Notamacropus eugenii: one gene and its partner. The protein of the gene in region 1 interacts with the protein of each later gene in a pairwise test. Links are inferred from orthologs where the notes say so. Each region holds a gene or a part of one and is shown on either strand. Other genes may lie near its edges. The genes, in order: BCCIP and RPL23.

The links.
Region 2: the proteins of BCCIP (region 1) and RPL23 interact in binary tests that used the Homo sapiens proteins (3 or more experiments, as listed by UniProt). The link is inferred for Notamacropus eugenii from reciprocal best matches to the Homo sapiens genes BCCIP and RPL23.

The regions. Positions count from the first base shown.
Region 1 is NC_092872.1:282,192,334-282,208,616, reverse strand, and holds the start of BCCIP (BRCA2 and CDKN1A-interacting protein), read right to left. Parts: upstream 6,507-16,283; coding exon 6,285-6,506; intron 2,616-6,284; coding exon 2,541-2,615; intron 2,344-2,540; coding exon 2,263-2,343; intron 1-2,262. Other genes in the region: UROS (uroporphyrinogen-III synthase), read left to right, coding at 11,605-11,667, 11,853-11,936, 12,754-12,850, 15,032-15,106. UniProt on the Homo sapiens protein: During interphase, required for microtubule organizing and anchoring activities. During mitosis, required for the organization and stabilization of the spindle pole.
Region 2 is NC_092873.1:354,396,900-354,414,031, forward strand, and holds RPL23 (large ribosomal subunit protein uL14), read right to left. Parts: upstream 6,826-17,132; 5' UTR 6,255-6,825; coding exon 6,242-6,254; intron 5,137-6,241; coding exon 5,053-5,136; intron 4,945-5,052; exon of another isoform or gene 4,811-4,944; intron 4,690-4,810; coding exon 4,561-4,689; intron 3,765-4,560; exon of another isoform or gene 3,629-3,764; intron 2,657-3,628; coding exon 2,543-2,656; intron 2,447-2,542; coding exon 2,364-2,446; 3' UTR 2,313-2,363; downstream 1-2,312. Other genes in the region: LASP1 (LIM and SH3 domain protein 1), read left to right, coding at 14,234-14,302.

The DNA of each region.
Region 1 (16,283 bases):
CACCAACCTAGATGGCATCCAGAGCAAAGAGCTCCAGGGCATCTCTGTGCCAACAGAAAGTACAGATCTGGGGAACGAGCAGCATTTCAATAAAACAATAAATTGTTAGCTCTTTCTAGGGCACCAACAAGTTACAACCCCTCAGGTCTGCAGCCTCCTCACCCACAAGACGAGAGTGTGGGACCATGGTCCCTTCCAGCTCTGATTTTATGAAATCACTTTATGTACACAAATACTAAGCTCTTATTCTGGTAAGCTTCCCTCTTGACCAGATTCTCGTTATATTAAAATGCTGGGGAAGGATGAAAAGGAGAAACAAGGCTGACCCTGCTAGGATAGTATCTCACGGGCCACATAATATCCAGGACGCTGTCCTGGTCCGCCGAACAAAAACATCGCAGAAGTCAGGCTCTGGAAGTAGCCCAGGTGAAAGGTCACCCATACCTAAGACTGGGGGCCCTGTGAGTAGAGATGAAGAGAGGTGGTAGAGTGAGAATTAACCAGACCTGACAACTAACTGGACTCATGGCAGGGTGAGGGGCAGGTTTAGAAGGATTCCAAAGTCATAAACCTAGTGACTAGACTACGGTGGCTTTTTGAAAAGAAACCAGCAGTACTGAGAGAGGGGTACATTTCAGGGGAAATGTAACAAATTCTCTTTTGGACCCAACGAGGCTGGACATCTGGGTGGAAATGTCCATATCTGGTATGGAACCAGAACCCAGGAGAAAGGTGAGGATGGGATGTGGTACAGGGGACACTGGAATACGGGACTGTGACATGAGGGAGGGACAACTTTATGGAAGGAGGAAAGTAGAAAACAATTTTGGGGAAGAAAAAATCGTGCAGAATTTGGCATTGGTGCAGCTAGCCACTGGGAACCATTCCCTCTCCCTGTCGTTGCCTTTCAGATCTCATGAAGTTTTGGCTTCTGGGAGGGTTTGCACAGAATTCTTGTCCCAGAGTGATTCACTGAGCATCTGGAGCACCAGGACCAGGCCTGGCTCTTCCCAGGTTTTGCTGGGAAACATGGGGGCTCAACTTGCTCGGAGGCACATTAGATGTCACCTTCAAAAACCTCTCTTCTTAGACAGTGTCCCCAGCACTCGTTTCTCAAAGCACGAAGGACTTTCCCCTTTCTACAGAAAAAAGGGCTGCCAAATGTGACCGCTCTAGCCCCTCGTCTCCTCCTGAACCACTGGTCTGTACAAGGGCCTTTGGGCCCCGCAACACCCCCTGCTCTAACACTAGCAGCTGATGTATAGTTTACATGACCACGTCCAAGGACAGCCAGGTGCAGACATCAGAGTCTGTCTGCAAAGAGTTTCTTCTACAGCAAGACCCACAATGGTTCCCTCCTCATTTCCTTCCCCCGGTCCCCACTCTGGTTCCCTGGGACATCTTCCCTCCCTCCACTGATCTCTGATGCATTCATGCTTCCTATGATACAGACACTGCTATGTTTGCTTTGTGCGCCAGCTTGGACTCCTAACTCATACTGTTCTGTATGGTCACAGGGTAGGGTAAGGCACCCACAGCAGCCGTTGGGGACCCTCTATCACTAGGTCACAGGCATGCGCTTCTAGAGCTGGGCTGTGAGTCACAACTTGGGCTAGGTGAGGGCACCTGCATCACCTCTGCTGGAAAGAGGCTACAGCAGCTCACACTGCATGTGTGATGGCTCACAAGTGCTACGGTGGTGGGTATCACCGCCATCACTGAACATCTGGTCATTATGACTGTTATATCACATCCTCTTCTTTCCCCCATCCCTTTCTTTGTTTTCTCTTTCTTGGGTCACCTCCTCTTGGAACACAAAAACATAAATTCCATGGGGGCTCAGAATGTGGTCAGAAGTACAATGGGCTAGATTGGAGAGGAGAGGAGGGCATGACCGCCGGCTCACTACTACGGAATGGTTTGTGCCCTCAGGGGCTAGCAGCATGCCTGGCACCCAGTAGGTGCTTAACACATGCCTGCTGATTGACCTTAGACAAGTCCCTAGACCTCAGTTTCCTCATCAGTAAAATAAGGCCTCGAAGTCTCTACAGTCCCTTTACAGTCCTATGATCCTATGCATTCCAAGGTCTTGCCCAACTCTGAGATTGCCTAATGGCCTCATAAGTGATTCTTCTTTTTCTCCAAACAAAAAAACAAGGTAGAGACAAAAAGGAAGTTTCTTGGCAGGGAGAAATGGCCAATCACCCAGTTTGTGACTGTGACCATCCCTTCTCCCACACAAAGAAAGACTTGGAGTCTCACCTTAATGACGCTCCCCACGTGACTCTGCTGTATTAGCAGACTGGTGAGCTCAGCAATGTTCACTGCAGCCTTGAGGAAAAGCTAAAGACAAATAGGAAAACATTTAATTGTGAGAAGAGTGCAACATCTAAGTGAAGGTCGGATTCCTAGTGACAGGTTCAGGTCTAACAGGAGACTAACCAAATAAATGTCCCACGTACCCACCATTCTACAATCTCTTAAACAAATGTTGTTCCAAGTATTCTGATGTTAGAATAAGAACTTCCAGCCTGTCTTACCTGTTGTAGTAGTTTTTTTATTCCATCAAAGTCATCACTGGAGATAGAATGAGCTTCAAACTCCACTGTCACTTCCTGTAAACGACACCGAGGAAAAGGTCCCCCAGCCGCCTCCTCCCCACATTGCCTGGGGAGGGAGTGGGGGGATATGGGACTAAGTGGGGCTCAAACCAATCTGTGTCCCTGTACCCAGTTCTCCATCCCCGGGGTCCAGCCCAGCTAGGGAGAAGGCCTGGAGTTGTCCGATAGGGAAAGCATCACATGGGCTGTCACCCCCAGGGCAGGCAGGAGGCAGAGCCAGTGGTCCTGTCCCCTCCCAGTGTAGACATGGGTGGAGCGGTGCAGGGCCTACAGACCTACCCACAGACCCCCTGCGCCATGGCGAACACGCTCACGCTTGCACAACACACAGGTGCGTGCCTATGCGCTGTCTAGGCAGTGCATACAAACACACCCATGAATACACACATACACAAATGTCTGAATGTGCACACATGCCCAAACACATGTACATACACACAATGCAGTGCACGCACACACATGTGTAGGCACACACACATGTGTACACATACAGGGGAGGCCAGCCCTGGCTCAAAGGGGAACCTGCAGAGAGACTCGCGCTGGGGCTGGAGGCATAGACTTGGCAGGGAGTCCTAGGGAGGAAAGGAGTTGGAAACAGCAAAAGCAATGGTCATTTGCTGCTGAAGACTTGTGCATGCCATGACCTTCTTATCACTGACACTGTTTTCAGTTTACCTAAACACAATAAAACTTCATGGAAGCATGCTCGCAGCACACACTGGCATCTAATAGACTATGTGATCGTAAGGAGAAGAGACAGACAAGATGTGAGAGTGACAAAGGCAATGTGCGGTGCAGAGTACTGGACTGATCATAGACTTTCCAAGCTAAATATTCGCATTCATCAAAAGTGCTGCCCCCCAAGGCAAAATGACTACCAGAAGAATCAATGTCAACAAATTAGAGCTCTTCTCTGAGCATGAAGTTTGCTACTGATTTGGAGGGAAGGTTGAGCCAACGCACAATTGGTAACAGTGGAGCAGAAAGGGAGTGGGCAGCTTTCAGAGATTTGGTGCACAGCACTGCATTTGCTCATCTGGGTCAGAACACTTGCAAACACCAAGACTGGTTTGTTGAAAATGATGGGGAAACTCAGAAGCTGATAAACAAAAAACGAGAACTCCACAGGATTTACCAGCAGGATAGTTCATCCACCTCTAAGAAGGCAGCATTTAATTCCATCAAAAGCAAAAGCTACAAGCAAAGCTTAGAGAGAAGCAGGATTCCTGGCTCAGTAAGAATGCAGATGAAATTCAGTTTTATGCTGATAGTAACAATCCAAAGCACTTTTATGATTCCCTGAAAGCTATTTATGGACCAACAACCTACGATGCATCACAACTACTCAGTGCTGATGGAACCACATTGATTAGTGATAAGGACAGGATCCTAGAGAGATAGGCTGAACACTTCCATAGTGTTCTCAACAGACTATCATCAATCAATGCTGAGGCTACTGATTGTTTACCTCAGTTGAAGTCAATCCCTCCTTAGTTGAACTTCCAACTGAAGAAGAGGTTTTGAGGACCATTAGGCTCCTTTCATGTGGCAAAGCACCTGGTACTGATTCTATTCTAGCTGAGATTTACAAGGTACGGGGACCATTGCTCATACAAAAGCTGACTGAAATTTTCTAGGTTATATAGCAAGAGGAGGTTATCACCCAGGGGTTGAAGGATACCTCCATTGTCCATGTCTATAAAGGTAAAGGGAATAGATTGTCCTGTGACAATCAGAGATATCTCTCTTAGTCATTGTGGGCAAAATTCTTGCTAGAGTCCTCCTTAATAGGCTGATCTGACCTGGAAGACAGTCATATACCCGAGAGTCAGGGAACTTCAGAAAAGGCCAAGGAACAGTCAATATGGTGTTTGCCGCCCAACAACTCCAGGAGAAATGCCAGGAAAAATCTGACCAAGGCCTTTGACACTGTTAGTCACGAATGCTTATGTCAAATATGAATGAAAAATTATGTCAAAATGAAAATTATGTCAAAATTTGGTTACCTGGAGAAGTTCATCAGCATTGTACATTAATTTCATGATGGTATGTTGCCCAGGTTCTAGACAATGGACAATGCTCTCATGCCTTCCCAATGGAGTGAAACAGGGCTGTGTGCTTGCTCCCATGCTGTCAAATGCTTTCAATGAGAATGAACATGGCATCAAGTTCAGCTACCGCACTGATGGTAGGTTCTTGAATTTGAAAAGGCTATAAGCCAAGACCAAAATGGAAGGGAGTGTTTGTGCACGACTTTCTGTTTGGAGATGATTGTGCACCCAATGCAGCCTCTGAAGCTGAGAGGCAACAAAGAATGGATCAATTCTCTGCTGCCTGTGCTAACTTTGGTCTAATAATTAACACCAAGAAAACATAGGTGCTTCATCAGCCACCACCACACCATCCATACATGGAACCATCAGTTACAACAAACGGAGAAGTTTTGAATGCTGTGGATAAGTTCACTTATCCTTACTAGTGTACTTTCCAGGGATGTACACATTGATAATGAGGTTGATGCACACACTGCCAGAGATAGCTCCGTGTTTGGGAGGCTCCAAAGAAAAGTTTGGGAGAGAAGAGGTATTAGACTGACTACCAAACTGAAAGCCTACAGAGCCATTCTGTTGACCTCATTGTTGTATGCCTATGAAACATGGACAGTCTGCCAGCGCCATGCCAGGAAACTGAATCACTTCCATTTGAACTGTCTTAGGAAGATTCTGAGGATCACCTGGCAGGATAAGGTACCAGACGCTGAAGTCCTTGCTAGAACTAAACTGCCAAGCCTTCAAACTATGCTTCAGAGAGCACAACTCTGATGGGCTGGCCACACTGCTCGAATGCAAAATATACACTTGCCAAAAAGACTACTTTATGGAGAACTGGCATGGGGCAGGTGATCACGTGGTGGTCAGAAGAAGTGATACAAGGACACTCTCAAGAACTTTGGATCTGACTGTGCAACATGGGAGACACTGGCACAGGACGGCTCAGCATGGAGTGCCCACATCAGAAAAGGGGCCGTGCTCTATGAGCAAAGCAGAACAGACAGCACAAAGTAAGTGTAGGATGTGCACATTTGGAGTATCCACCCCAGATACTCCCACGGACTGTCTGTGCCCAACCTGTGGCGGAGCACTCTGAGCTCGTGCTGGTCTGACCAACAGTGGGACACACAGAAACTTCACTTTATCATGGTGACGTCATTTTGGTCCTCTTTGAAGACGAAGGACAACAGCCACGTGAAGTCTGAACACGCACCCGTGCCCAAACACGCACATATGCACACAAGGCAGCACAGGCACACACGTGAGCGCACACGTGAGCACACACAGGGACACTCGCACACCCAGGGGAGGCCGGCCCTGGCTCCAAGGGGAACCGGCAGAGAGCCTCGCGCTGGGGCTGCAGGGCATACGGGGCATACGGCAGGCATTCGCTAATGCCCACTGCAGCAGGGGGGGAGGGGAGAGGAATGAGCCAAGTCCCTCCCTCTGTCCGGGCCTCGGTTTCCCCACCTGTCAAAAGTGTGAGAAGCCAGACTGGGCCCTCCCCACGTGCCTAAGGCGTGCCACGTCCTGAGGGACAGAACCTCCCGCCCTCAAGGGGCTGACAGGCTACGCGGTGACGTCACTGAGCGCCGCGGCAGGTCCACCCCACCTGGTTGACGAGCTCGTCTTCTTCGTCCTCCTCTTCATCGCTCTCGTCGCCGCTCTCGTCGGTGTCCTCCGCCGTCTCCTCGCGCTCCTCCTCGGCCCGGGCTCCCGGAGGCTGCGGGTGCCGGTTGCCCAGGGCGCGCTTCTTGGCCTGGGACGCCATGCTGCCTGTCTCCCACTGCACCTGCGCAGCTGCTTCCGGGTTAGGGCTTCTGGGCCGGCTCATGCGCGTGGGGAGAAAGTTCCCAGAGTATGGGCGGGAGAGGAGCGAGTCTAAGGCGCTTTGAAGCCCCTAAAGTAGGGAGAGCAGCCTTCGAGCCTGATCTGTTTCGTTGAACATTAAATGATCCTGGATGCGCCCTGATGCTGGCCTCCCCGGGCCTGAGTTCCCCCTCGTCCGACAGTGGTTCGCTCCACCGAGGGGGGAGCTGGGAGTGGATCCTTGGAAGGGCAGGGGGCGTGGCCTGCTGTGCGCGTGCGCCTACGCCCGTGCGCGTGCGCACTTGTGCGCGAATCACTTAAGACCTTCGCGTGGCTCTCTTCGTTTACCGGCGGGGAAACTGAGGTCGCTGCTGTCTCCCAACATCATGGCTCCGGGTCAGTGCCCCCGCCCCCCAGGGCTGTCCACGGCCACGAGCATTTTCAAAGGACGTACCTTCCGTGGAGTCCAAGGCCCTTCCCTTGTGACAGAGAAGGAAACTGAGACCCAGGAAGGGGAGGGAGTGGCCCGAGGCCTCCTGGGCAGGGAGTTAGCAGAGGCACAACTCGAACCCGGGCCGGGCCTTCTCCGACCTTTTCTTCGTGTGCCTCTAAAACCCTGCCCAGTGGGGGCCTAAGGGGTCATCTAGTGTCAAGGGTCACCCAGGGCCTCCGGGTCATCGATCACAGCACAGAGTCCCTCCCCTCACGTTCCCCTGTGCCAGTGGAGCCAGCCCGCACCATCAGCCGCAGGAAGCTCCGGGACCCCCACAGCCATCAGCGTGTGGCACAGTGCTCGAACCCAGGTCTTCTTCCTCCCGCTCCCTGGGTCCGCCATCCCCCTGGCCCGGCTGCACGCTGGACAGGCTGCAGGGAGAAGCTCTGTTTAATGTGCCCCGCCTAAGCTCCTCCTCTCCCGTGCCAGGCGCTGGGAGTGCCACCAGCCCCAGGGCCAAGGGAAGGTTTTGTGCAGCCCCAGACCTGAGCCTGTGTGGGGGAGGTGGGGGCCACCCCCGCGGGAGCTTAAGTCAGAGCTGTCTGGAAAGATGGCATCCGCCTCTTCCTCCCAGGAGACTGAAGCTGAAGAGGAGAGGCTTGGGGAACCGGAGCAAGGAGGTGAGAGTTTGGGGTTTGGAGGCAGGAGCCTGAGAGAGACAGCCTGGGTCAGCCTGTTAAGAATGGGCCTTGGTGGTCAAGAACAGGTGGCACTAAAGAAAGTCGGAGGGCTGAGGGGCATCCAGACACTCTCAGAGCTCAGCTCACACCCTCACTTCATGATCTCAGAGAAAGCAATAGTAAAAAGAGATTTAACTAAAAGAGAAAAATAGGGAGTATACACACACGCACACACACACAAAATGACATGACATCTGAATTCTTACAAGAAAAGTTAAATGTGTTATAGGAAAACACAGTAGAACTATAATAGTAGGGAGGGAGCTTCTGTTTACCCCCTCACACCTACAGGAATCTAACCAAAAGAAGCAAAGGACCTAAATAAGATTTTAGAAAAATTTGATATGATAGTCCTCTAGAGGTTGTCAGATGGAAATAGAAAGGATTATATATATTTATCACCTGTAGACAGCACCTTTACAAAAAAAAAAATGACCATGTAATAGGGCATAAAAACCTCACAAACATGCAAAAAAGCAGATATATTAAATGCACCTGTTTTACAGACCACAATACAATTAAAAATCAACAAATATTCACTAAATTAACAATTAAAAATTAAATGGAGACTAACTCAAGCCTAAAGAATTGGCAGGTCAAAGAACAAATATAAACTGATCACTTCATTTAAGAGAATTACAACAAAGAGAAAACATAGCAGAATTTTCAGGATTCAGCCAAAGTTATCTTTAGAGGAAACTATGGCTCTAAATACTTTGATTAGTAAAAGAGACCTGATCAATGAATTGGGGCAATGCAATTAAAAAACACACACACACTAGAAAACCAACAAATTTAAGCTCTCCAAATAAATGCCAAAATAGAAAATCCAAATATCAAAAAAGATTAATAAAATTGAAAGTGAAAAAAATTGAATTAATAATACTAACAGCTTTTAAAAAGATAGATAAATCATTCAAAGAGAAGAAAACGAAATTACCTAGCATCAAAAGAAAGATAAATCCATCCACTGAACCTCATTTGTGTCTAGTGGCATTTGTCAGCAGCCCTAGGGGTGTCCATCAGCTCTCCTTCCCTCCCACTAGCTAACTGGCTCTTCTCTCCCAACTGCACATTTCCCAAATGTTATCTTTTACATGCAGGAGGCATGCACCAAGTAGGGCCCGGTGGGGAGAGAGTCAGTCTCAGAACCAGGAAGGTGAAGACTGGAGTTCTCCTTCTGACACACACTGGCAGCTGACCTGACCACCCTTAGAACACAGTTTTCAAAGCAGGTACCAGCCTGGTTTCGTAGAGGGGGTTCCTGTGGTCCAGTCCCCTTCTCTCCCATGCACACCCCTGTTCATGCCCACGTCACCTCTGGTGTCCACCTCCTCTGACTCCTTCACAAGTGTGATCCTTGATCATTGAAACACCAGCCTGACTTCCTGGCCGGAAACAGGGAATTGTTGAAATGATAAACTTTTTTTTGTAGTTTGAAGTCCAAAAACAAACTAAAAAGGTCTTAACATTGCTAATGAGCTCTTTTTTTAGCCTTGGGTCCAGTTGCTGGCTGTTTTCTCAGATGGACCTAATATAGTTTGTACCTGGCCTATTTGGGGACTGAGGGGTTATGGCTTTGGTTAGATTCTTTTCTTACAGATAAAAGAAAGCCTCAATTAGGAGGACAATATTGATGAAAAATGTGCCTCTGCACACGCAACACACATAAAAGAACATCAGCTTTGCCTGGAAAAATTTTTTTTAAAACGAAAGTACTTTTTCCTTTAAAAACAAAAAGATCTCAGGATTCTGGCAGGAAACCTCAGTAGTTGATGGTAATACAAAGACTTGTCTGCAGTGTTTTCCCTGAATTTTCCATTGGAGAAATCACTGGGGATATCAGGAAAAACAGCATAGCACATAAGTAAAAAAAAGCTCATTTTGCACTAGGCTGTTGGGTTTTAAAACATGTTTGATCCGTGAATAAAACCCTTTTCTGTGTAAAGCCCTTTCACCTTGAAGAATGTCAGTTCACAGGAGTAAAGGCTAACATTTATGTGGCACTTTAAGGTTTGCAAACTGCCTTATAGCTGCTATCTCATTTCATCATCACAACAGCCCTGTGAGGGAGATGTTATTCCTGTTCCCTTATCACACATGAGGAAACTGAGGCAGAGAAGTTAAGTGACTGAGCTAGGATGTCCAGCTAAGTCTGGGTCTAGGGCATCTTTCTGATTCCACATTCAGTACCAGTGACTCTACCAGTCAGCGGGCTCAACTCCGGGTGCAGTAATACTATTCCAGTCTCTGAGTTTTCATCAGTTCTCATCAACTCCCTCTACTTTTGGAATACCTGCTTCCCCTCAAGGTACAGCTCAGTTGCTTTTTGTTCCAGAGGCCCAGGCAGAGCCCCCCAGTTACTTTGTGTCCATTTTGTGTTTACTTTTCCTTGTTCACGTTTCTCCGGAAAAGGAGAGAAGCTCCTTGTGGGCAGGACCTGTTTCATCTTTTCCAGGTACCTGGCACAGTACAAGCTTAAATACTTTGTAAACGACAGTCATCTGGGCCTAATCTGTGTTTTTGTGTTTAACACTTAAGGAAACAGAGTCCCAGAGAAGCTCGAATGATTTCACAAATGCCTTCCAGTGCTATAGTGGCTGAGTTGAGCTATAAATGACCCACCATCCAGCACTTTGGGGATACTGATCTGTCCTTTCTAGCCACTGCAAGGAAACAAGCAAAGAATTTGACTGCAGTAAATAAAGTAGAGAGGGGGAGGAAGGATGAAGCAGACTGCAGCACAGAAGGAAGCGAAGGGCCAGAAGAGGAGGAAAACAAGAGTTGGAATGAAATACCAGAAAAAAGGCCTTTCTTGCTCTGCTTGGGCATTGAGAGGGGGCTGCAATGGGAGTCTAGGTTGGACGGTTTCAGCCACAGCTAGGAAAGGACACAGTCTGGTGCTGACAGTTTCAGTATGAATTGGTGCTTTCAGCTGAAATGGGCCGTGGCTGTTTCATCCTCAAGTTAGAGGGTACTTGAGTACACCCTGAATGAGATTCTGTTCGAACTACAAATGCCAAGATGTCCATGCCACTCAATTACATCCCCATTTCCTTGGGGTATTAGGATTGTGAGAGGCTGTGCAGCTAGTTTCTGGTTGAAACACATTATGAATAACTCCATGAAATGATTAGATAATACCCATCTCCCCAAAGCAGCCATCGCAATCTAGCTGCCTTACCGTGAAGATAATTAGAATTTGGTTTCATAAGCATTATTTGTTTGCCAAGGCTTTGTTGCTTAGATACCAAGGAATAGGATTGTTCAGTCAGGGTCCTAGACAAACTCTGCTGCCTGCTGACCTTCTGCACTGAGAAGGAGGTCAGCAGTCTCTTAGAAGTGATAGAATTTTAGCTTTGCCTGTCCCCTCCCCTCATCTTCTATTGATGAAGCAGTACTTGGTAGTTAAAGGATATATTACCAATGCATAGGCACCCCATTCTTCACCACCACCACTGGCTGCTGAGGGCTGTGACATTTGTAACATGACTTCCCAGGGCTCAAGATCCTTCATGGACCATCCCTACGCACAATGATAGGGGGTCTGTACTAGGGCTCTTTCCTGCAGTGCATTAGGTATATGAGAGACTTTCTTTTCCATAGCTGTCAATGTGCCTAAATAATGTGGAGAGCTCTCATAGCCCCTTCCCTTGGAAAGAGCCTTGAGGGCTTATATTTTCCCTGTCATCCAAACATGAGCCTTATCAAAGGCAGCCTGCACATTTCTTGTCATCCTTATCAGTGATTCAGCCACCCAGGGAAGGGCCTGAGCTGCTCGCTGCTTACTCACTGCCAGGAACGAGGCAGGCGCTTCACCAGGTCCATTGACCAGCTTCTGCTTGACCCAACCTGATCCTGCAAGGGTAAGGAGAAAAGTCCCCCAGATCTAATTAGGATCCATTTCCCTTCTTCCTTTTAGCCTTTCCTAAGGGCCGGCTGATAAAAAAATGAAGATTCTGTTACTGAAAGACCCTAAGGATGATGACTCAGGCCAGGATCCCTATATTCAGGTAAGTGATCCAGAGAATTACATCATGACCTCTTGGCACCCAGGCTTGCCTTCACTGTTCTTCCCTGTGGGTGTCAGATTGGGCTGGGGGAGGCAGCATTGACTTCCAGAGTGGGGTCCTGGGGCCCTGCTTTTGTTTTTAAGACAACTCTCAGGTCTTGAGTGTTGGTACTTCTTTTTCCTCAGGAATTGGGATCATGTGGATTTGCAGCTACATTGATACCTGTTTTATCCTTTGAGTTTTTGTCTCTGCAGAGTTTCTCAGAGAAGGTAAGGCCAAATACTCTGCTCTGTCTGTCCTGCCAGGGAGGGGTGGCCAAGGGCGGGCAGGGAATGAGCTAAGTCTGGGACAGGCTTTTATCATGTGTGTCAAGTGGTCAGGGCCTTGGCTGAAGAGCAGCTGACGAACAGCACGTCCCAAAGCCACCGTCTTGTTCCAAAGCCACTGTCACGTTGTACACCATAGGATGCCACCAGCCCTGCCCCCTAAGTAGGGAAGTGAGCTCTATTCTAGCCCGTTGGACCCCAGGGTGTCATTGCAGCTGATCTGGATTCGGACGTTCTCCACATTGGCTTCACTGCCAGTATGGCAGTCATCGTAGTTTATATGTCTTCTCAGACTTCTTGAAATTTTTCTTCCTCTCCATCTATAAAGACAATTCGCACACCGTAACTTATTCACCCATCCCCTAAACAACGGGCCCCTGCTTTATCACCACCTTTCTGCTGCCACTTAAATGCTGCTTTGCGTGTTCTGGCCTCCAGGGCATCCCAGAAGTTGTGGTGCCATGTCCTGACCCTTTCTGTGGTCATCTGCACTTTTATGGAGCCTTGTGGAGCGGCTGAGTCATTTTTCTCCCAGAATTCCAGATGAGAGAACATAAATAAGTTACTTTGATGCCTATTCAGGTGCTACGTAATTGTCAGCTGTTGTAATTAGATTGGTACATACGTATTCCCTCCTCCCCCATAGGATAAAGCACCATGAGGGGAGGGATGGTTTGGCACCAGAGATAGGCACATGGAGGTGCTTAATAAATGTGTGCTGATTTGTTGGATCTTACTGAGATGTTTTGTGTGTGGGCAGCTGTCTCGTCCAGAGGCTTACAGGGGGCTCATTTTCACCAGCCCCCGCGCAGTGGAAGCTGTGAAATTGTGTCTGGAAAGAGACAACAAATTGGAAGGTGAGTCTGCTTCTCTCATGTCACATTGAAAACAACCAAAAAGCCCAAAGTCCCCTGAGAGCATCAAGGTGAGATGAAAATGCCCCTTCTAAACCCTCCATTTCCTGACTGCCCTCTCCCCAAGTGAGTGAGACCCACCTGACCAGAGAAGCTCCTGAGCTTGGCTCCTCCCTACTCATCCACTAACATTTATGTACCACCTGAAGACTTGCAAAGCACTTTACAGAGATACTGCCTCTGATCCTCACAACCACTCTGCCAGGGAGGCACAGTTTATTATCTCCATTTAAATGGGAAGACCGTAGGAAACAGGATTAAGTGACTTGCCCAGGATCTCACAGCTGGTAAATGTCTGAGACTGGATTTGAACTTGGGTCTTCCTGGCCCCAAGCCCAGCCCTCTATCTAGTCCTTGGAAAGCAGGGCATGCAGGCTCCAGGAGGCACCACCAATGCCAGGCAGCCACAAGCAAGGCCAAGTTGCTCTCAGCCAGCTATGGGAGAGGGGTATCTCCAGGTGAGCAGCTGGATTCACCTGCCAGGCCTGCCTTCCCCAGCTCCACAGGGAATTCACTCCCTTCATGATACAGTGCTAAAATTGTTGGGGGTGGGTACCCCCAGGACTCCTCCCTCCTCGCTAACATAGGTCCAGCCAACACTTTTCTCCCCCTGCTTTATAAGACTGCCTCAGACCTGTTTGGGATCTGAAAATCACTGACTTGGAGATGATGCAAAGACCTATTTGGCTAAAGAAAAAGCTGGTGCCCCCTGGCTTTGTCTGTGGAGGGAGCCTTGGGCCTGATGGACCTGACTTTGCCCCTCACTCCCAAGGCCAAGTCCCTTTATACCTCTGAGCCTCAGTTTCCCTCCTCTGTAAAGTTAGGGGCAAACTAGATGCTCTCTGAGGTCCCTGTAGGCCCATGTTCTGTATCCTCATAAGTTCATACGGGGCACTATTCCATCAGAGAAACAGGCTTCAAACTGTGTGTCCTGGGCTAGGCATTGACTCTCTGAGCCTTCTAGTTGTCCTCAGTGAAATGCAGGGTCTGGACCAGGGAAGCCCTGACTGGGTATGGTCCTTGCCAGCCCGGACGTCCTGTGGTTTGAGATTTAAGGGTCCTTCACTGTCACTCCAGAAATGTTCTCTTTAAGACAGGAAAGAAATCACCAAAGGGATTTCCCCAGATCCCTAAGATTTAGTTCCAGAGCAGAGCTTGTCCCTCCCAGCCAAGGGCACTTGAGAACCTATTGGGTTCCAAGTCACCTCCATGCATGTACAAACCTGCTGGCAAGGGACCATGAGCTGATAGTTACCTTGGATGCCCGTGCCTTGGTTTGCTTGGCTGCAATCCTAGTGGGTGAAGAGTGGGGGGTTGCCATTCTGTGACCCAGTGATGGCTGAGGATCTCTCCAGCTCTAAAAATAAGCACACAGTCTTGGTCTTCAGGGGAGAAATGAAGCTCCCAGGAAGACCCCATAGCCTTTCGCTCTCCCAGCTTGGGCTTAGCCTCTTCAGGGCTCTTGGCCATGCAGGCCAGCCACCCTAGGGGCTGCCCAGTAGTTTCCTGGCCAAGGCAGTCTCAGCGTGTGTGCAGGATGCCTCCTCTGTGAGCTGTTTGCACAGTACGCAGAGTTGCCTCCAGAGTCTAGGTGGCTTTGGGAGCAAGAATGTGTTTACTTTGCCCTTCATTTACAAAGAAGTCATTTGGAAATTGTGTGCGTGTTCATCTTCTGAACAGTCAGTTGTGATGTTTTATTGGCCAGTTAAGCAGGTTTTATGTTCCGTGGTTTTCTTTCTCTTCCAATAAAGATCCCGATTTTCAGTTATCATATCACTATGCAAATTAGCATCCAGTGTTAGATTTGTTTTCCAAGGACACATAAAAAATGCTTTTCGTGCAGGCAGAAAAACAGTTCCTGTTTCAGGGAAAGCCCCTTAAAACATTCCCTAGATCTGATTTGTATGACTGCCTGACAAGTTTGCATTGGCTTCAGCTCTTAGTTCTTTGCCTAAAAATATTTTTTGCTTTTGTTTATAAGACAAACTTTGATGATTCACATTTTGCTTTACTCATAAATTGTTCAAAAGAAATAAAAACTGCCTTCTGGGGCAGAAATCCAAGCACCACTTTAGTGTTCATAGTTCACTGCTAAATGCCTGCTTTTAATTAACTGTTTTTCAGTCTGGAAAAAGTCTTTGAAAGAAAAATGGCACATCAAGCCGGCGTACGTAGTTGGCCAAGCCACTGCATCCCTTGGTGAGTGTGAGAAGAAGTCCTAGACATGCCTCTGACCCATGGCTTTCGGGGGAAGCCACCACGCAGTCCAGCATCCACAGTGTTTCAGAGGGAAGGGGCTGCCAGGACAACCAAAGGAGGCTCCTGCCTTCTTGAGTCAAGCTTAGCAGATTCTTGAGCTCCTGGGGCTTGTATACCTTCCCTATGACCTTGCCATGCCCATGAGGAACCCCACTGGTGCCCAGTAGTGGGAGGAGCACCACATATACCACTAGAGGGCTTGACTTCCCATTTTCTCTGCTCCTTTCTCCCTATGACCCCAGACCTCAGCTGAAGGGGCTTGGCTGGAGTGACCTCTGAGGCCCTGCCAGCTCCAGATGTGCAGTGTGTCCTTGGACCTCAGTCTATCTCCACACATGTCTCTGCTGGGCCCTGGAGAACCCTGGCTGACCCCTGAGCAGGGAAGAGGGGGCGCAGGGACCAGGCTCTGATGGCATGAGGAGAGGGGACTAGGAAGAGCCCAGCATTCAGTAGGACTTCACAAATGCCTCCAATTGCCTGCCCTTCAGCAGTGAGCAAACATGGTGGTTCCACAGCCTCCCCAAATCCAATCTGGCCTCAGATCTGCTGCATGAACAAGGACTTCATCCCTGCAGAAAGGTGGCTGCTGAAGGAGAGGTTTGGGGCTTTGGACTCAGCACATTTTGAAGGATTTGTAAATTAAGTCAATAGCTTTTAAATTAAAGCCTTGGTTTGCTGGGTCTGGCTCAGATAGAAATCAGAACCGGGTTTGCCTCGCAAGTCTCGAAGAAAGGCCACATTCCTCTCCACTGTCAAGAGGGAATCCCTCTGCACTACAGCCCCTGCTACACTTCTAAACTGAGCCTTACTGGTACCTTTTATTTTGATGTCACTGTGTTGCCCCGCCCCCCCGTCCTGCCGCAGCCTGCTCCTAGAACAACCTCACCCCTGAACAACATCCTGGCTGGACAGCTTGGCTCTGAATGGCTATTGACTTGCCTGAACTCTGACTTTCCATTTGATGAATTTTTCGTTGACCCTGTTAGGGGTCTGCCAGCTAGACTGCCATCCTTCCCCAGGGTGCTCCTGAGTCCCCTATAAGATCCAGCTTCCTGTCAGTGTCTGAGTAGAAGTCTCCCTCAGGGCACGCTCCTGGGTCCTGCAACCTGGCTTGTCC
Region 2 (17,132 bases), on another chromosome or scaffold:
GTTATGTTTCTTAATAGCTAATCTTGTTGGCCTGTACTGTCCTATCCTCTGACCTCTATATCATTTGACTCAATCGCCCCTCCTATCCCATTTTCTTGACATTGATTTTTCTCATGCTACTTGTTTAGCCTACCTCAGTATTCTTTGCTGGACTATCATCTATATCCCACCCCCTAACCACAGGTATCCCTCAAGGTTCTGTCTTAGGCCCCTTTTTCTCTCTACATCTTATCTTTGTGATCTCACCCCCCTCCAATGGGTTCAGTAATTATTTTCATCTCTCCTAAATTCCATTTCTACATCAGGCAGATAGTTAACTGCCTGTTAGGATATTATCCATCTCTAAATAGATATCCCCTTGAATCAAAAGCAAAATGTCTAATAAGTCATCTCAACTCATACGTCTCCCAGCCCATTTCTGTTTAAAGAAGGGACTCACCATTGTTTCAGTAACAAAAGGTTTACAATCTCAATCATTCTTGAGTCTTTCCTTTCCCTTAACCTTCCTAATTAGCAAATTCTGTGAACATCTCACTTTCATTCACACTCTCACCATCTTGATTGAACTTTTACCTCCCTCGGGGTTTTATTCTGTTCACCTTCTTAAATTGTCAACATAATCTTAAAGCAGATTTGACCATGTCACTGTCCTAATAAATAACTCATCAACCATTTGCACAAATACAAAACTAAGCAGTCTGGTCTTTTAAAGTCCTTCTGGCTGCTGGTTTATTTCATACTATTTTTCACAAATATTCCAAGCCAAATTGGCTTGTCATTACTTGGTATCCCAGCTCTCAGCCTTTGCCAAGAGTTGTCCCCTATGCCTACAAGGCACACTATCTTCTGAAATCCCTAGTTCATCAAGACTCATTGTATGTAGTACATAGGAACCTTTTCTTAATCCCTATTTTGAATACCTAACTGCAGATAGAATAGAATTGGAATTGAACTGCCAGGCTTAGGGGCTACCAGAAATTTTTGAGCAGATAAAAGGTAAAGGGGGTTGGTTAAAGGAGAGGGTGCCAGTTTACATTTTTTCGGCAGCCTGTCTCAGGCTTTGAATGCAAGGGGATGGCAGTAGGAAGATTCACCAGCAATTCCTCACGGACCTGACTCCTGAACTTCCCATCAAAAGCTGTGTGAAAAAAAAAAAATTGATGAGTACAACTTTTATCTTTTTCAATGAGGGAAGTAAAATTCTATCTGTTACTTTACCCTTGTGGTTGTAAGCTTTTTCTTTCCTTGTCAAAACCCTCTCAATTAGATTACGTCAATAAATTCAGTGAAAATCACATTAATTTCAGCTGACTTTTGGGTGTTTCAAGGCTTGTCTATGAAGATCTTCACAAAAATCAACCCAGGGGATGTTCAGGTACACTACACTAATCCAAGAGAATCTTATACTCTAGGGCCAGCATACTACCACTGCCCTAACTGAAGGATAAAACATATCAGTTGGTCAATAAACATTTATTAAGCACCTACAAGCTACACTGTGCTAAGCACTAGGATACAAAGTTAAGACAGTCCCTACCCTTGAGGAGCTCACAGTCTAATAGGGAGAAGACAACATGCAAATACTGTATACAAATAAGCGATATAGAGGATCAACTGAAAATAGATCCAACTCTTTCTCCCTTGAAGCCCCTTCCACCCATTTATAAGTGTTTTCCAAGGTTTGAAAAGCACTCCTCTCCTAAATAATCCAGACTGACCTAAAATCCAAAGGCACATATGTATTTCTAGGTAGTATCCAACTGCTCTGTAAACAGCAAACCTAATATAAAGAAATGACAATTCTACTACTGGCAACACAACACAATGAAAACCTCAATCTACCAAATCACTGACCCAAGGAAGCAACAGGGAAAAGACAGTATATGGTATACCGTATTGTCCTGGTGTTGGTAAAATTACTTGTTCAGTTTTTTATTGTCAAAGATTACTGCGGTGGTTTGCCATTTCCTTCTCCAGCTCATTTTACAGATGAGAAAACTGAGGCAAAACAAGGTTGTGACCTGCCTAAGGCCAGACAGCTAGTTAAAGTGTCTGAGGCCAAATCTGAACTCAAGAAGAGTATTTCTTTTGTTCATCAGGCTAATCAAAGTCCAGTGCTCTAATATGTCACTGACACATTGGACTAGATTAAGTCAACCTCAAGTGGATGGTCTTATTTTAGGATAGCAGAAATGCTTTATCACAGGAGGGTTAACATCAAACCATTAGAAGAAAAACACAGGCTAGTTTTCAGACTTCAATGGTTCTGAAAAAGATCAGGGTAAAACAAAGACAAGGCAAAAAAGCAAATATATAGGCAGACACTTTAATGAGGCATTTTTTACAAATGGGCTTTAGGAGAATCAAGCAATGCTGCCTGCATTAGATGCAATCCTGGGCCACAAATCAGCACACTCCTTGGCAACAGGCCCTGTGATGGCTGAACCTACAGGAGAGAAGAGGAAAAAGCAAAAGCTGAACAGGTACTATCTTTTGAAGGAACCACCCACCCAACCACAGAAGAAAAAACCCAAACCCCTACCTTTCATCTCGCCTTTGTTGTTTACTATGACCCCCGCATTGTCTTCAAAATATAGGAACACACCATCTTTTCTCCGATACGACTTCCGTTGCCGTATTACCACTGCTGGATGAACTATAAAGGAAAAGATCAATGACAAGTTCAGCTCCAATAGGTGTATTATAGAACAACAAAGGAGATAACGGACATTCCCTCACCTATACTTTCCTCAACTACATATTGAAAACAAGCTTTAAAAGATACTTGGAGTCTCAACCAGAGTTCATGCTCTTAAATGAAGCAACAAATGGATGCTACAGATCACCTTGGCCCAACCTCCTCTTTTCACTGAAGAGGACCCATATAGGGGAAGTTACTTCCCCAAAGCAGCAGAGGTGGGCTTTGAACCCAGACGCATGCTGCTTGGTTGTGGCTTCTCAAAACCTGTAAACTGAACAAGTTTCCTCTGACTTAAGACCAATCAATTTTGAAAACACTTAAGAGCTTTCCTGCAAAACCAACTCAAGTATGGGGAAGGAATACTGCCTCAACTACTCTTTCTGTTGAGGAAAACCTGTAAGGAATTTTTTTAAACTCCTAAGAGAACAGGCTTCCTACCTTTGAAATGGTAACAATATGCTTAAGGGAAAGACCTAGAGAAAGGTTCTTCGCCTGGGGTCTATGATCTTTTCCCCAAAATTTGGTTATATTTTAATATATTTGGCACACAATCCTATGCATTTTGTGCATTTAAAAACAGCATTGAGAGAAGGGATCTAATCTGCCAAAGGGGTTAATGAGACAAAAGGGCTAATAATCCTTGAAACTAAAGAACACACAAATATGGAAAACAAATGTACCAATCAGGGACACAAATATAGGGATTCTAACAAAGGAAAGAAAACTGTGGTCTAGAATAGCCAGGGAAGGTTTCAAACAGGTGGGACACAGGGATCGGCAAACTAGCATGAGGGCCAAATCTGTCTCACCAGTTAAGAATGATTTTACACTTTGAAGTACAATAAATAAAAAAAATATTAGCTTGGGGTAATAGAGGCAGTTTTGTCAAACCATCCTTCTAACACACTGTTTTGAAAAAAACTATAGGCCTGTCACACCACTGATTGAGACCAACAGCACATGCAGCTGTTACCTCACCCAAAAGTGATGGTTGTTATATTCTGCCCTTTCTGGATAACTTCCCAAGTCACTGAAGAGACCCATAAAGTGCTTTTGAAAGGGAATTCAGCTTTACCTACTTCTCCATAAGACCATCACCCAAGTCAGAATGAGCAATAAATATTCAGATTTTCTGGGAGACAAGGTTTTAAAACTAACCTAAATACCAAAATTAGATAAAAACTTGTTATTCTCACTTATATGAATCACAGGCTTTTAGAATGGATCTCAGAAACCCTTATTTTACAAATAACTCACTACTACTTCATGATATGTACACAATATGCCCTCCCTAGGAAAGAATTCTATGATGTAAACTACACAGTGTAGATATTGTCTTTCATACTATGAACAGGTTCAGAATGAAGTCAAAACCGCCTAGATGGTTGTGGAAAGGCCAAAACTAAAACCCATCCATTAAGGAAAGCAAAGGTCTTATTACCATGCCTCATGGTCTTTTAAAAGGCTGAAGCCTGGGGAGCTGGGTTGGGCTTAGATAAAATCTCTTATGATGCAGTCAGTTCAGTCTCTTTCAGAGCCCACTATTACTGAGAGATCACTATCAGTGGAATCTTTATACTTCTCAAAAGAAATTTATGGAGCAATTTCTTTTTCTTCTCCACCCAGGCTTCTTTCACAGCTTAATGCACCCATCTTGAATATGGACATTACCCCATCAAAGTAGTGTGGAGTCCACCAAGGGAAGCCACTGTTGGATACTGAGGCCTAACACTTGAGAGACAAGGCTTCAGGGCCATAGCATTTCACATTGGAAAACTCTTAACAAGGGATCATAAACTGAGTAGGTCTTTCGATTCTCACCAAGAGAATGAAGGGGAGATTCTTTTTCCTCCACTCACCCTTCTTCCGGAGCTCTGGCTTTCCCTTTTTGACTGTAGCCATTACCATGTCACCTACACCAGCAGCAGGAAGCCTGTTCAATCTCCCCTTAATCCCCTTCACAGAGATGATGTACAGGTTCTTGGCACCTATAAGGAAAAGATTTGTAGCAGTGGGTTTTTTTTCATCATAAATGGCTACCAGACATTTATTCTTACCATTTCACTCCATGATGAAGTCAATGCTGAATGATACCTGTATGGCTAGAGGTATTGTTACACCACCGATTGAAGCTAAACAGCACAAGCTGCCGCTTCACCCAAAAGCAGTGTCATTTTCTTTACCCTTTCATGACGGCTCTATGGGTCATTGCAAGAAGGCCCACTGAGTGCTTTTTGAAGGGAGAAGTTAAGTAGAGCTAGACAGTCAAATGCTTCTCAATTCTTTGGGCATTTACCAAATCATGGTTAAATCCAATGGGAGGATAAGAGCCAAGCATACCAGGGACTCACCCGTATTATCAGCACAATTGATGACAGCTCCCACCGGGAGACCCAAGGAAATTCGGAACTTTGCTCCCGAAGACCCACCTCGTCCTAAGGAAAGATATACAAGAATCAATCCAGCATCCACAAAGCTCTTCTCCTAACTAGGTCTCTATTTCTCCTTAGAAAATTGCTTTTGGACTTACTTACATCACGGAGTTTTAGGTCAGAAGCAAACTTAGCAACTTATCTTATTCTACAGATAACTCACTTTCCTATTTGCTGAAAGATTCTCATGGGTATGGCCTTGTCTAGGCTGTAAACAAGAGGGGTGCAAAGATGCCCCATGGCTCCTTTCTTATAATACTACAACAAACAGATCTACTTCATACTTGGGATACTCACACCTTTCTCTAATACAAGCTAGGCACGGAAGATAAACTATACATGCGAAAACAGGCTCTTATAAGCAGAAGGCTTATTCAATTTACTAATACACCAAATATTTATTAAACCCATACCTCTGCTAAATACTAAGGATATAAAGGAAAAAAAAGTAACAGTTCTATTCCTCAAGCTTATATTCTGGGGAGAAAAGGTCTATGAAGAATACAGGGAATTTTAAAGAAGACAGTAGAGTGGATCTGGGAAGTAACGTGCATGAGGATGGGAGAGGTGAGCTGCAATTGGCTTAGAAGTAGCAATTTGACAGCTGTGTGAAGGATCCATTGGAAAGGGGAAAAGGTAGGAAGCAGGGAGAACAATTTGGTCTGCAACCATCAAAAGCGGTACGGCGGTCGTGAACGACCTCCATCCCAAGGCATCAGAACCCCTACGAGGGTGGCACGATTACCGCCCCACCCTACCTACCTTCTTTTTACAAACAGCTCCTTCCCCTCGGCAGAAACCCCCCTACTCCAAGCCTTCCCCTTCTAGGGCGCCTCCCCGCCAGGCAGGCCAGGCCTCCGAAGAAGGCTGCGAGTGGGCCAGAGCCGTGGCTCATGTGTCACAGGTGGACGGAAAAAGCCACTGAGTCCGTCTATCATCCCTTCCCCCATCTCCGGGTCTTTTCACTGCCTTCTCTCAAGGACAGGACTCTCCCAATTGGGTCCAGGGAGGAGCTAAGAGCTCCCGCTTCCCCATCCGGCGGCTCTTCGGCAGACCCCGGCCCCGAGAGCGAAGGATGGCGGCGGATTTCGCGGCTCAAGAAACTCACCTCGCTTAGACATCTTGATTCCCGGAAAGCACCAAAGAGAGAGGAAACGCGGGGCACTTCGGGAAATGAACAGAGAAGCTCCGCCTCCCCCTCTTGTCACGTGACCGGAAGCAGCTTCCTGCCCTCCAGAGGAGCGCTCCCCCGTCACGTGACTATAAAAAAATAAGCTAGCGACTGCGTGGTGGGGGCGGTGCGATGCACTTTGGCGCCCTCTTCAGCCCTGGTGGGGAAACTGCAGTTCGGAGCTGATGCTTATTTGAAAAGGCGAGGGACTAGCGAGTGTAGAAAATTGTATTGGTATTCCGTCGTTTTCGGTCGTCTACGATTCTTCGTAACCCTTTCTGGGGTTTTCTTGGCAAAGGAACTGGAGTGGTTTGAAATGGAAAAAGAAATGGTTCTTTCTCCAGTTCATTTTACACATGAGTAAACTGAGGCCGACAGGATTAAGTGACTTGCCCAGGCTCCCAATGCTAGTTAAGTGCCTGAATTCAAATTTGAACGGAGCTCTTGCTTACTCCAGGCCTGGCGCTCTATTCACTGCCACCTATCTCCCCCTATGTAATTATTAATCATACTATATGACAAAGACATAAAACAAAAGACACCTCAAAAAATAAAAAAGAAACAGCAAAGAGAAAAAAAGAAAATTCAATTAAAACCAATCACCCATCAATCGGATTTAATAATATATTAATAGTAATAATTCATTAATCAATATGGAAATTATATATTGATTAAATTGAAATAAATTTATCATTTACATTTGTATTAACAAGTTACATCATTTTGGTTAAATATATAGAAATTATATATATTATATATTATTTTTAAATGAAATTGCATTGTTTTTATTTATAATGCTATAATTCCAATTAAATCATTCATGTGTTTTTGTTTATATTATTTTCATATTGATTAATAATTTGCATTAAAATGTTATTATTATTGTATATATCTGGTTAATGGGTGATTGCTTTTTACTGAATTTTCTTTTTTCTGTTTCTTTTATTCTTTGTAATCTATTTTTTTTTGTCTCGTAACAAAAGGGTAGCTCGTTGAGCTGGTGAAGAAGAGAGATAGATATATTCAGAAATTTAGAAATTAAGTCGCTGTCAAAACAATACACCCCCCAAAAGATAAAAAATCAGTACTGTAGTGAAAGCAAGATAAGGGTTAGCTCAGTTTAATTCAACAAGAATTTAATAAGCTAGGTGCTGGAGATAAAAAGACAAAATGGAAAACAATTCCTCCCCTGAAGAAGTTTACATTTCAACTTTCGAGGAAACAGTGAGAAGAGACTCAAGAATTGTCATCTGGACCCTCCTGACTATCTTACATTATCCCAGATGAGATAGTATATGCAAACCACTTTGCAAATTGTGCTGTATAAATGTCAGTTACTGTTTTAAACTTCAGGATGATTATTAATATGAGGGTGGGTGCTTACTCCAGGGGTGTAGATCTAACCCACCCCAGTTTAGCCCTTCCCCATATCTTAAAAGATTTTCATGAATTACTTGTGGTAGAATTATGTCTACACCTGAGTACTCACAGTTGTCCCACTACAGGATCTGTTCACTATAGGGAGCCAGTTCATGAACCCAGGGCTCATCTCCACTCCCACAAAACATGGAAGGAATCAGATTTGTCCTTTACATTGACATGACATACATGTTCACCTACATTTACTATAAGGAATACAAACTTTTAGGAATTGACCTACAGTTGACTCGCTAGTACCTTGGGTTACACTGTTCTGGTTTCCTTGCAGGGAGTTTTCCTTGCCACATGAAACTGTTCTGGTGTGCTGGGGTACCAGTCTCGGGAATTTCAGGCATTTGGGACTAAAATACTTCGTTGTTTTGAAATACTTAAGTAATTAAAACAGACATCTCTTTTAAGAGGGGGCACCCGGAATTGAACCAGGGACCTCTTGATCTGCAGTCAAATGCTCTACCTCTGAGCTATACCCCCTTAGAACCTGTAGTTTATTGTTGTCACTTAAATGGATTGTCAACAAGGCATTTTTGAGTACAAAACATTCTTGGTAGATGTAATAAAATTGACTCCATTTCCCCAGACTCAAAGAAGTGATAATTCAATTTTTCAATCTTTATTTGTTGTTCTTTCCATTGACTTTGTTTTAGTTATTGTGCATTTTGTTTTCTTTACTCTGCTTACTTTACAAAATCCAGTTTGTAGCTGGTGATGACAATGAAGAATGAATCTGTCCCTGACCAACAGGTCAAATAGAAAGTAGAGAGAGTGCCATCTCCTTACTACTGGATTTCCACTGTTGCCCTCTTCTGAGGGGGAAGTTCTTCATTTATAATCTCCACCCTGCTGGTTTACACATTGGGTTTCATTTCCCTTAGGTGTTAAGACAGCTGGGAAGTTCTTTGAGTCTAAATTCTATCCTACCACTTTAACTTCTTTCATTTTCACTAGTGGTGGAACATCTCTGAGAAAATATTTTCGGTGGTAGTTCTGACCCTGGCTCATTGGCACTGCCAAGTATAACCTCAAAGTATAGCTAGAGAATGTTGAGAACTCTGATCTAGGCCACTACAAATGTATTGTCCAACTTTAACTGCACTCTTCTGGATTACTGACGATCTTTTAGCTTATTTCATTGAATCTTTCTTGAAACTCACAAAACCAAAATCTTTAACCTCACCCCTCCCCATCTTTCACTTTTGGCACAAAGCCTAAATAAAATTTTACTTTCCTGGTATCAAAATAATCAGGTTTTAAATCTCCATCTCTACTTCCGAATCTTTCTTTCTACACAAATCTTTCTTATCTTAGAGGAAGAGGATGTCCTGGTAATCTCATCCCTCTTTGCTTCATTAGTTGTCTTATTAGATCTTTATAAAGTTTTGTCAAACATCAGATTACTATGGTCAGTTATTGATGTAAATTTCATACCCAATCTATTCCACTGATCAAACCATTCTGTTTCTTATCTAGTAGTGCCAGATTGCTTTGATGATGACCAATTTGTAATGTCATTTGAAATCTGGTAGAACTAGTTTGCCTTCTTTCACTTTTTTTCCCCATCGACTCTCTGGATCTTCTTAAACTTTTGTTCTTCCAAATGAATTTTGTTATTATTTTTTCTCGCTCTATAAAATAATTCTTTGGTAGTTTGCACACTTTGCACACAATAGGCAAGCAAGCAAGTAATAATGGCTCATCCACCCCTCCATCCATCCATCTGTCCATCCATCCATCCATTCATCTATCCATCCATCCATCCATCCTTTCATCTGTCCATCCATCCATTCATCCATCCATTCATCCATCCATCCATCCATCCATCCATCCATCCATCCATCCATTCCTCTATCCTTTTCTCCTCCTGGCTCAGAATGATGCCTCCAACTCAACAAGATTATTTGAGAATTTTGGAAATAACTAGTACTAGTTATCTACTAATCTACTAGTACTAGTATCAGTATTACTAGTTTGGCAATACCTAATAAGTATTGTTAGTTATTTGTCTCTCTGGAATGGTCCACATTCTTTCTATGGTTCTTCCTTTTGAGTTGTATGGGTTCAGTACATAACAGGTGAGTTACCAAAAACTATTCCTTTACTTGCTAGGTGACCATGATATGAAGTTAGTATTTTTGTCTCAGATTGAGAGGAAGTAATTACAGTATTTCCTCACTCTTTTGGTTTAAGTGAATACATTTATTGCTTCTTAAAAAGAAACAGGACCTGTATACAATTTTGGTGACTTGACTTGACTGACCTACTTTAATTTTTTCATCTGCAACATAGATAAAAAATAACTATATATTTAAGGAGGTTTACTTGCTGCAAAGTTCAGGTTTTTGTTTTCTTGGGCAGATAGCATGAGAAACCATTCCTGAGGAATACTGGTATATAGTCTTTGAAAATAAGACTTTATTTTGCCTGTACCTGGAGGAAGAAAGGTGGATGGAAAACTGGGGAAGCCGTTTGATGAGAACAGTGGTTGTAATTCTCTACAATTTTTATTTTTATTTTTTTAAATTTTCTTTACAATTTACGAAGTCTTTGTTATTTCCAGTGTTCTCAAATAATCTTGGTGAGTCTGAACACGGATTTTTATCCTCAATTTACACATATTGGAGATAAAGTTAAATGTTTTCAAAATCTGTTGTGTTAGATTTGAAGTTTTAAGTCTTGCTTATACACTGGGAAATCTAGTGATGTTCTTTGGAAGAAAAAAAAAAATCTTTCCAGACTACAAAAAAAGCACAAGAACCTTACAGCTGCTGGAAAGCGATTGTATGAGTTTCACCAGCAGAGGGGGTATAGCTCAGTGGTAGAGCATTTGACTGCAGATCAAGAGGTCCCCGGTTCAAATCCGGGTGCCCCCTGTAAACTAGCTTTTGCATTTTCGTTGGCAACTTTCAAGTACTAAATCAACCTAGTCAAAAAAACACAAAACAAGGAAAAAAAGCTAACACCGATACCTTAATGCCAGTTCCGACGCGCGTCAGAAACCCGACAAAGAGCTGGATTGGAAGATTGACTGATAACAGAAGGCGTGGTCTCACAGACCTGAAGAAAGGCAGAGTGGAACTGGATGATGTACGATTATTCTGTACCTCTTCAATTTTGATCGCTACGGCCCCAGTCTGGATGCTCCAGATTCCCCACCGCCCGCGCTTCTCAGAGCAGGGAAGAGAGCACCCGGAGGATGGGGTACAAAAGCAGAGCAGACCCGATTCCCTGAATTACAGGGCCACGCGTACGTTTGGGTGGACAGGACTCAGAGCTGCTGCCCCCCGGCTCCTGGGCAGCATCGTCGCGGGAAGGGGGAGGGGCGATGTTCTGCCAGCTGTGGGGTGGGGGTGGGGGTGGAAGAGTCCAGCGTTGTTTTACATTTAATTGACAAATCCCTCTCCCTCCTCTTTCATTTAAACCACGTATGTGGGGCTGCACTTCTGCTTTTCCAGGACATTCCACTTTATCTGCATACTGGCCTTCTTCGGCCAACATAAATAAATAAACAAATAAGCGAGTAAATAAACAGATAAATAAAATATACGTATAAGATATGGACAGAATATACCGCGTATAAATATAACTTATGTATAGAAATCTATTTTATAAAATATAAGCATATAAAATTTTTATGTTTATAACCCCTGTTCCAAAGCCCTTGGATATGGAGTTCTACCTTTTTCGTGGAGATGATTACATATTTATTAACCTATGTCTACAACGCCATAATATGAAAATGTGTGTGTGTGTGTGTGTGTGTGTGTGTGTGTGTGTGTGTGTGTGTGTGTGTGTGTGTGTAATGGGCAGCTAGGTGGTGCAGTACATAGAGTACTGGGACTGAATCCGGCATCAGACTTTAGCTGTGTGACCCTGGACAAGTCCCTTAACCCTGTTTGCTTCAGTTTCCTCATCTGTAAAATGAGCTGGAGAAGAAAATGGCAAACCACTCCAGTATCTTTGCCAAAAAAAAACCAACAAAAAACCAAACCCAAATGGGGTCACGAAGAGTCGAACACTACCGAAACGACTGAACAAAATTGTTTCCCTCATAGAATAAAAGCTTCTTGATCAGCACTATTGCGAGTCACAGAGCATGCTTGTTAACTGATGTATCATAGCTAATTTTTCCTTCAGCCTTTATTGCAATCAGAAGTTAGGAGAGAAAGCACATAATAGGATTAACTTGAGGTCCCTCCCACACTTCCCTAAACTTGGCCCTAGGTTTCCAGGTAAAGAAATTTACAGTCCAGAGAGATGAAAAGCAGCACCTCTCAAAGGCTGGAGTTCGTAGTTCAGAGGAACAATTTCTGCCTCTTAAATGGTGAGGTCATGAATTTAAGTCCTTTGGAGATCTTGGGGAGTAGGAAAGCAAAGGCACGTGGAAGAATTATGAATTTTTTTTTTACAAGGCAATTAGCCACTCTTGATTTTCAGTTTCAGAAACCAGGTCCCCACGGTTCTGCTGAGCGCATTGGTTCTCCTTATAGGGTTGAGAGGGTGTTTTTCCTAATAGATGGGAGGGTATCTGGAAGAGTTTCATTTTTTTTCTCCCCTGTTCGGGTGGAAAATGAAGTAATAAGAATGGAAAGAATGCAGCATCAGATTCCCATGGTCCGGGTGAAAGATGACAGTCTTGCTCTGGATTTAAAATAACGCGGCTGACCTCTAACCCAGGAAGCATGCTCCACTCCTTCCCTTATTTTTTCCCTTTTTTGGGGCCAAAAATGCAGTTGAAGAAAGGATACTCATTCCTGTGGATTGTTTAGGGTCTCTCCCTTCCCCCTCCTCCTGTATTTCCCCTGGATGATAATATTAATAATAACCATATAAGCAGTTCATTGCCATCCTGGCATTAAACTGTAGTGATGAGATTAATCAACAGGGTTAGTATTTTAAAGAGTTTGCATTTGATTTACCCGAGTTATTTTTTTGTAACGAAATAATTACAACATAGTAATGATATTTTGTGTCTGCACAACACTTGTAACTTTTCCTAGACTAACTTTTACCGAAACTTTTTTCCTCCTCGACCCACCTCCCGGCTTCCCTGAAGTCTCAGCTAAAATCCCACCTCCTGACTTTTCCAGTCTATCTTAATGCAAGTGCCTTCTGACTGAGATGATTTCAATTTATCTCGTCTACATTTGTTTGTACATTGTTTGCAGTTGTCTCACCCATTAGAATGCCAGTTCCTAGAGGAAGGAGACATTTTTTCTTTTGCCTTTCTTTGTATCTTCTGCGCTTGGCAAAGTGACTGGCACACAGTAGGTGCTTAATGTGTGTTGACCGATAGACTACGAATGCCTATAGAATGCAAGGGAAACTTCACACTGCCCTTATCTCATCTGCTACTAAGCGGGGAGCGAGAGAGGGTTAGGGAGAATGGGAAGGAAGTGGAAGATGGAGAGGGAACTGGACCTCCAGGCCACGGATAATCGGGGAATGTAGCCATGGCTTTCTTCCCCCCCAGGTGCCTACACCCTCTGCCCTCCACGCCGCCCGGTGTCCGGAAATGAAGGGCTGCGGCAGGCTTGCCAGGGAGCCCGGTCGTTCCAAAACCTTTAAACTGGAAAGAGTACAGGGTCCATACTTGATTCCCTCCCTCTCCAGGAACAAAGCCAAACCTACAGAGCTTCTTTTAGGGAGACTTACTCGTCCACGGTTAGGGAGTATTAAAATGATCCCGCATTCTTTTCCTTTTTCTTCGGATCCATGGCGTCATTTTAAGACACTGGTCTTGAGACAGGGTCCCAACTAGAACGAACTCCACAGAAAACAAAAGCGCGGAAGGGGGCACCCGGATTTGAACCAGGGACCTCTTGATCTGCAGTCAAATGCTCTACCACTGAGCTATACCCCCAACGCCGGTGGGTCGTTGGGAAGTAAGTCTTTTCAGCCCCGAGCGATGGTCGTCGCTGCTGCAGCTGCAGACCATCCGAGGTGGGGGGAGAGCGAAGCCGGAGGTTCTCTAGAACCCTGCAGAAGAGAGCTCCTGGGGGACAGGGTGAAGTTCCTGAGCTGGCCGAGAAGGTGCAAGGTGCAGATGCCGTTGGGCCGAGAGGCTCCTAGAGGGGCACGTCAGGGGAGATCCCCCCAGCGCGCCCCCAGGAAGGACCGCTCCTCCTCCACGCAGTAACTCCGAGGCGGGTGTGATCTTCCTGGGGTCGGCGCCCCGTCCCCTTCGGCCTTCTCCTTGCCTCCCTTCCCCGGCTCGCCCCCGCGGCTCCACGTGAGCGCGCCCCGCTCGCTCCCCGGCCTCCCCTCGGAGCGCGCCCCCGTGGCGGCGGCGGCCGCGCGCTCCCCGCCCCGGTGCAGCCCCTCCTCCCGGCCGTGTTTATTAGGGGAAGCAGGGCGGAGGCGGAGGCCAGTTCCCCAGCTCCAGCCGCCGCCGCCGCAGCGCCCCAGCCCGCCTGGGGAAGGAGGGAAGGGAAGAGGGAGGGAGAGGACCAGCCCTGCCAGCTTGGGCGCCCCCGGCCCGCTCCGCCCGCCACCATGAACCCCAACTGCGCCCGGTGCGGCAAGATCGTGTACCCCACGGAGAAGGTGAACTGTTTGGACAAGGTGAGCGAGCCGCCGCCGCCGCCAGGCTGCCCCCCCGGGCTGCGTCCCAGTGAGCCGGGCGGGGCTCGGCCCCTACCTGCAGCCTCCCCTGCGAGGGTCCTGGACCAGCGGGGGGGAGGGGGGGGCGTCACCAGCTCGGACAATTTAAGGGGGCAGAGGGGGGACGCGGGGGTGCAGGAGCTCTGCGGGGCTCAGCGGGAAGGGGGCCCAGTCTGGCTGAGAGCAGCCCCGGCTCCAGCCGCTGGGATTCAGGGTTGGGGGCGGGATACTTCCATTTGTGGGGTCTCAGTGCGGGGGGACGTCCATGCCTGTCCAGGGGCCGCTGCAGGAGGCGACGTGGGCTCGGGGATGCTGAGACTGGGGGTGGGGAAGGGCTCCAGTTTGCCAAAGAGAGGGGCAGGGGAGCCGGACTAGTAGGACTTTCGGGGGACCAGACTTGAACCCCCTCATCCCTAGGCTCCCCCGGGCCCCGGGAAGGAGCCGCTCCCTCCACCGCGCTGAGCGCCAAGTAGGCGGAAGCGCCGGGTTGGGGGGAGGGGGGCGGGGCAGAGACTGGGGGGCCCCGTTACACTCTCCCTTGTGGGGCTCTGTCCCTTCCCCCAGTTTCTTGGCTGTAGGCTGGGGGCCTTCGATGAGTCCGAGCGCACGGATGGGCTTACACCGGGGGTTTGTGTGTGTGGGGGAGGGGGTTCCTCCATGAGAACCTCTTCTAAGGAGAGGCAGACTGGAGCACCCCCACCCCCCGGGTCAGGACTCCCTCTTGTTGACTTCCTCTTACCCCCAAAGGGTAAAACCCTCAAACTAGTTGCAGCCAGGATCAAGGGACTGTGGCTAGGCCCTTTGGATGCCCAGTTGGAGTAGATGGGGACGAGTGGAAGATGGGGTGTGGGGGGGCGGCTGTCCTCAGGTGGGGTCAGGGAGCTTGGTTGTAGAACAAAGAGTGAACGGATTGTTCGGTAGGTTGCTGGTGGGGAGAGTGTTGGGGGGCCAGAACTGGCCGAGTTTAAGGGAAACCTAAGAAATTGAGGGGAAAGGTGTGATTGGGAGAGAAAGTGGCCTTTTGGAAATTCCTTCACACGGGGCTGGCCTTTGTAACCCCCCCCCCCCCCAATACCTTAGCTTGCTCATCTGATTCCCATTAGTCTGTTTTGGGGATTGGGTGGGGAGGTGGAAGGGTTGTGTTTCCAATTCAGGGTTCCTCTGCTGCAGTTCTCTGAGTTCTATTGAGGAAATCCAGCATGTCCCCACGCTTCCCTTCCCTCCGCCCCCTCCTTCCAGGTGGTTTCCCCGGAGCCACGTCCACCTGGCGACCTTGGGAATGTTCCTTTTCCTTTTGTCCCAGTCCCTTTCCCTTTGCTTCCTATCTCTTCCCCTTCCCCCTCCCCCTCCTTTCCCTTTTTCAGGCCTGAGTATTCCGTGTCTTCTCTTTTTTTCTCCCCAGAAGTGTTCTTTGGGGGACTGGGGGAGGGGAGGGGCAGCCGGGCTGGGCTGGGCTTTCCAGGCCAAGTTTGTTCAGGGACTTTGGCTGATTTTGCTTTTGGAAGGCCAGGGAGAGCTCACTGGACACTTTGTCTCTTTTCCCCCTTCTCTCCTCCCCCTTCCTGCTCTAACTTCCTTGCTTGTCCCTGTTCTCCCTGAGTCACAGGGTGAGGGGGTGAAGTTCTCTATTGCACCAGAACTTGTCCTTGGAGCTCCGGGGCTGCTGTTATGGTGGTACCCCTGCCAGGACCCCGAGGGAAGGGAAGCTGGGAGAAAAGAAATATTGATAGCCTATATTGATAGCCTATCTCCTCTTAACGTTTAGGAGTGGGATGTAAGGGACAGAGTCTTTCTCTGTACCCCTCCAATACCTTGGTGAGTGTGTATCTAAGTTTAGTTTGGACACCTGGAGGTGAGAGTTCTGAGAGCTCCTGACGCCCATTGTACCCTAGCCTGGCATTTGGGGGTGTGCCCAGTAGCCTTTAAAGGAATGTATCTTCCTGGCCCCCTTCCTTCTCCTAGGAGTAGGGAACACTCAGGAAAGGGGTTAGGAAGGAATTAGAGTATAGTGAAAAGAGCTCTAGTTCTAGGTCAGAGGAACTGGGTTCAAATGCTGCTTCTGACGGTTACTATTATGTGACTTTGGCAAAGGCCTAGGGCCTCCATTTTTTTTATCTGTAAAATGAGGGAGTGGTGCCATCTATAAATCTGCTCCTAGTGTGCTTGGAGTTGGAGGGTGTTTTGGGGAGGGAAGGCAGGAAAGGGGATGCTAGGTCATGTCTCTTGAAAATTACCGAATTTATACTTTGCCAGACTGCAGAATGCTCCTGCTTCTCTGAGCCCAGCTCAGCCAGTTTGGAAAAACTGAGAATTTGAGAGGGAGAGTCCTTTTTTACTTGGTGAATGGGAGGGAGGAGAAGTAAGGTCAAGAATAGGGAGTCCCAGAAGATGCCCTGTGTTCCTCCTGGCCCATAGGTTGCCCTCCTCGGATGCTCCCTTACCCAAGCTGGAAGAGGAAGTATAGGTGGGCCTTAGGCTTGTCTTTGGGAAGTTCCTGTACCTCTTCCCCATCCCCCTTCCCTTTCCTCTGTATGACAGCACACAACCTGTATAACTGTCTCCTCCAGGTCAAAATTGGCAAAGAGATTCCACTCTCTTACCCCAAGTACAGAGGTGGACTTTGAAGAAGGTCAGGAGTTGAGTGAACAGTTTAGGGGATCCTGGCTTCCCTAGTACCCAAGTGCAAGCTGTTTCCCCCTCCCCACTCCAACGCCAGTCCTTGAAAGCAGCTGGATCTGAAAGCTGGCAGGAAGCAAGTAAATACCCAGCTTCAAGCTGTAACACAGTTTAT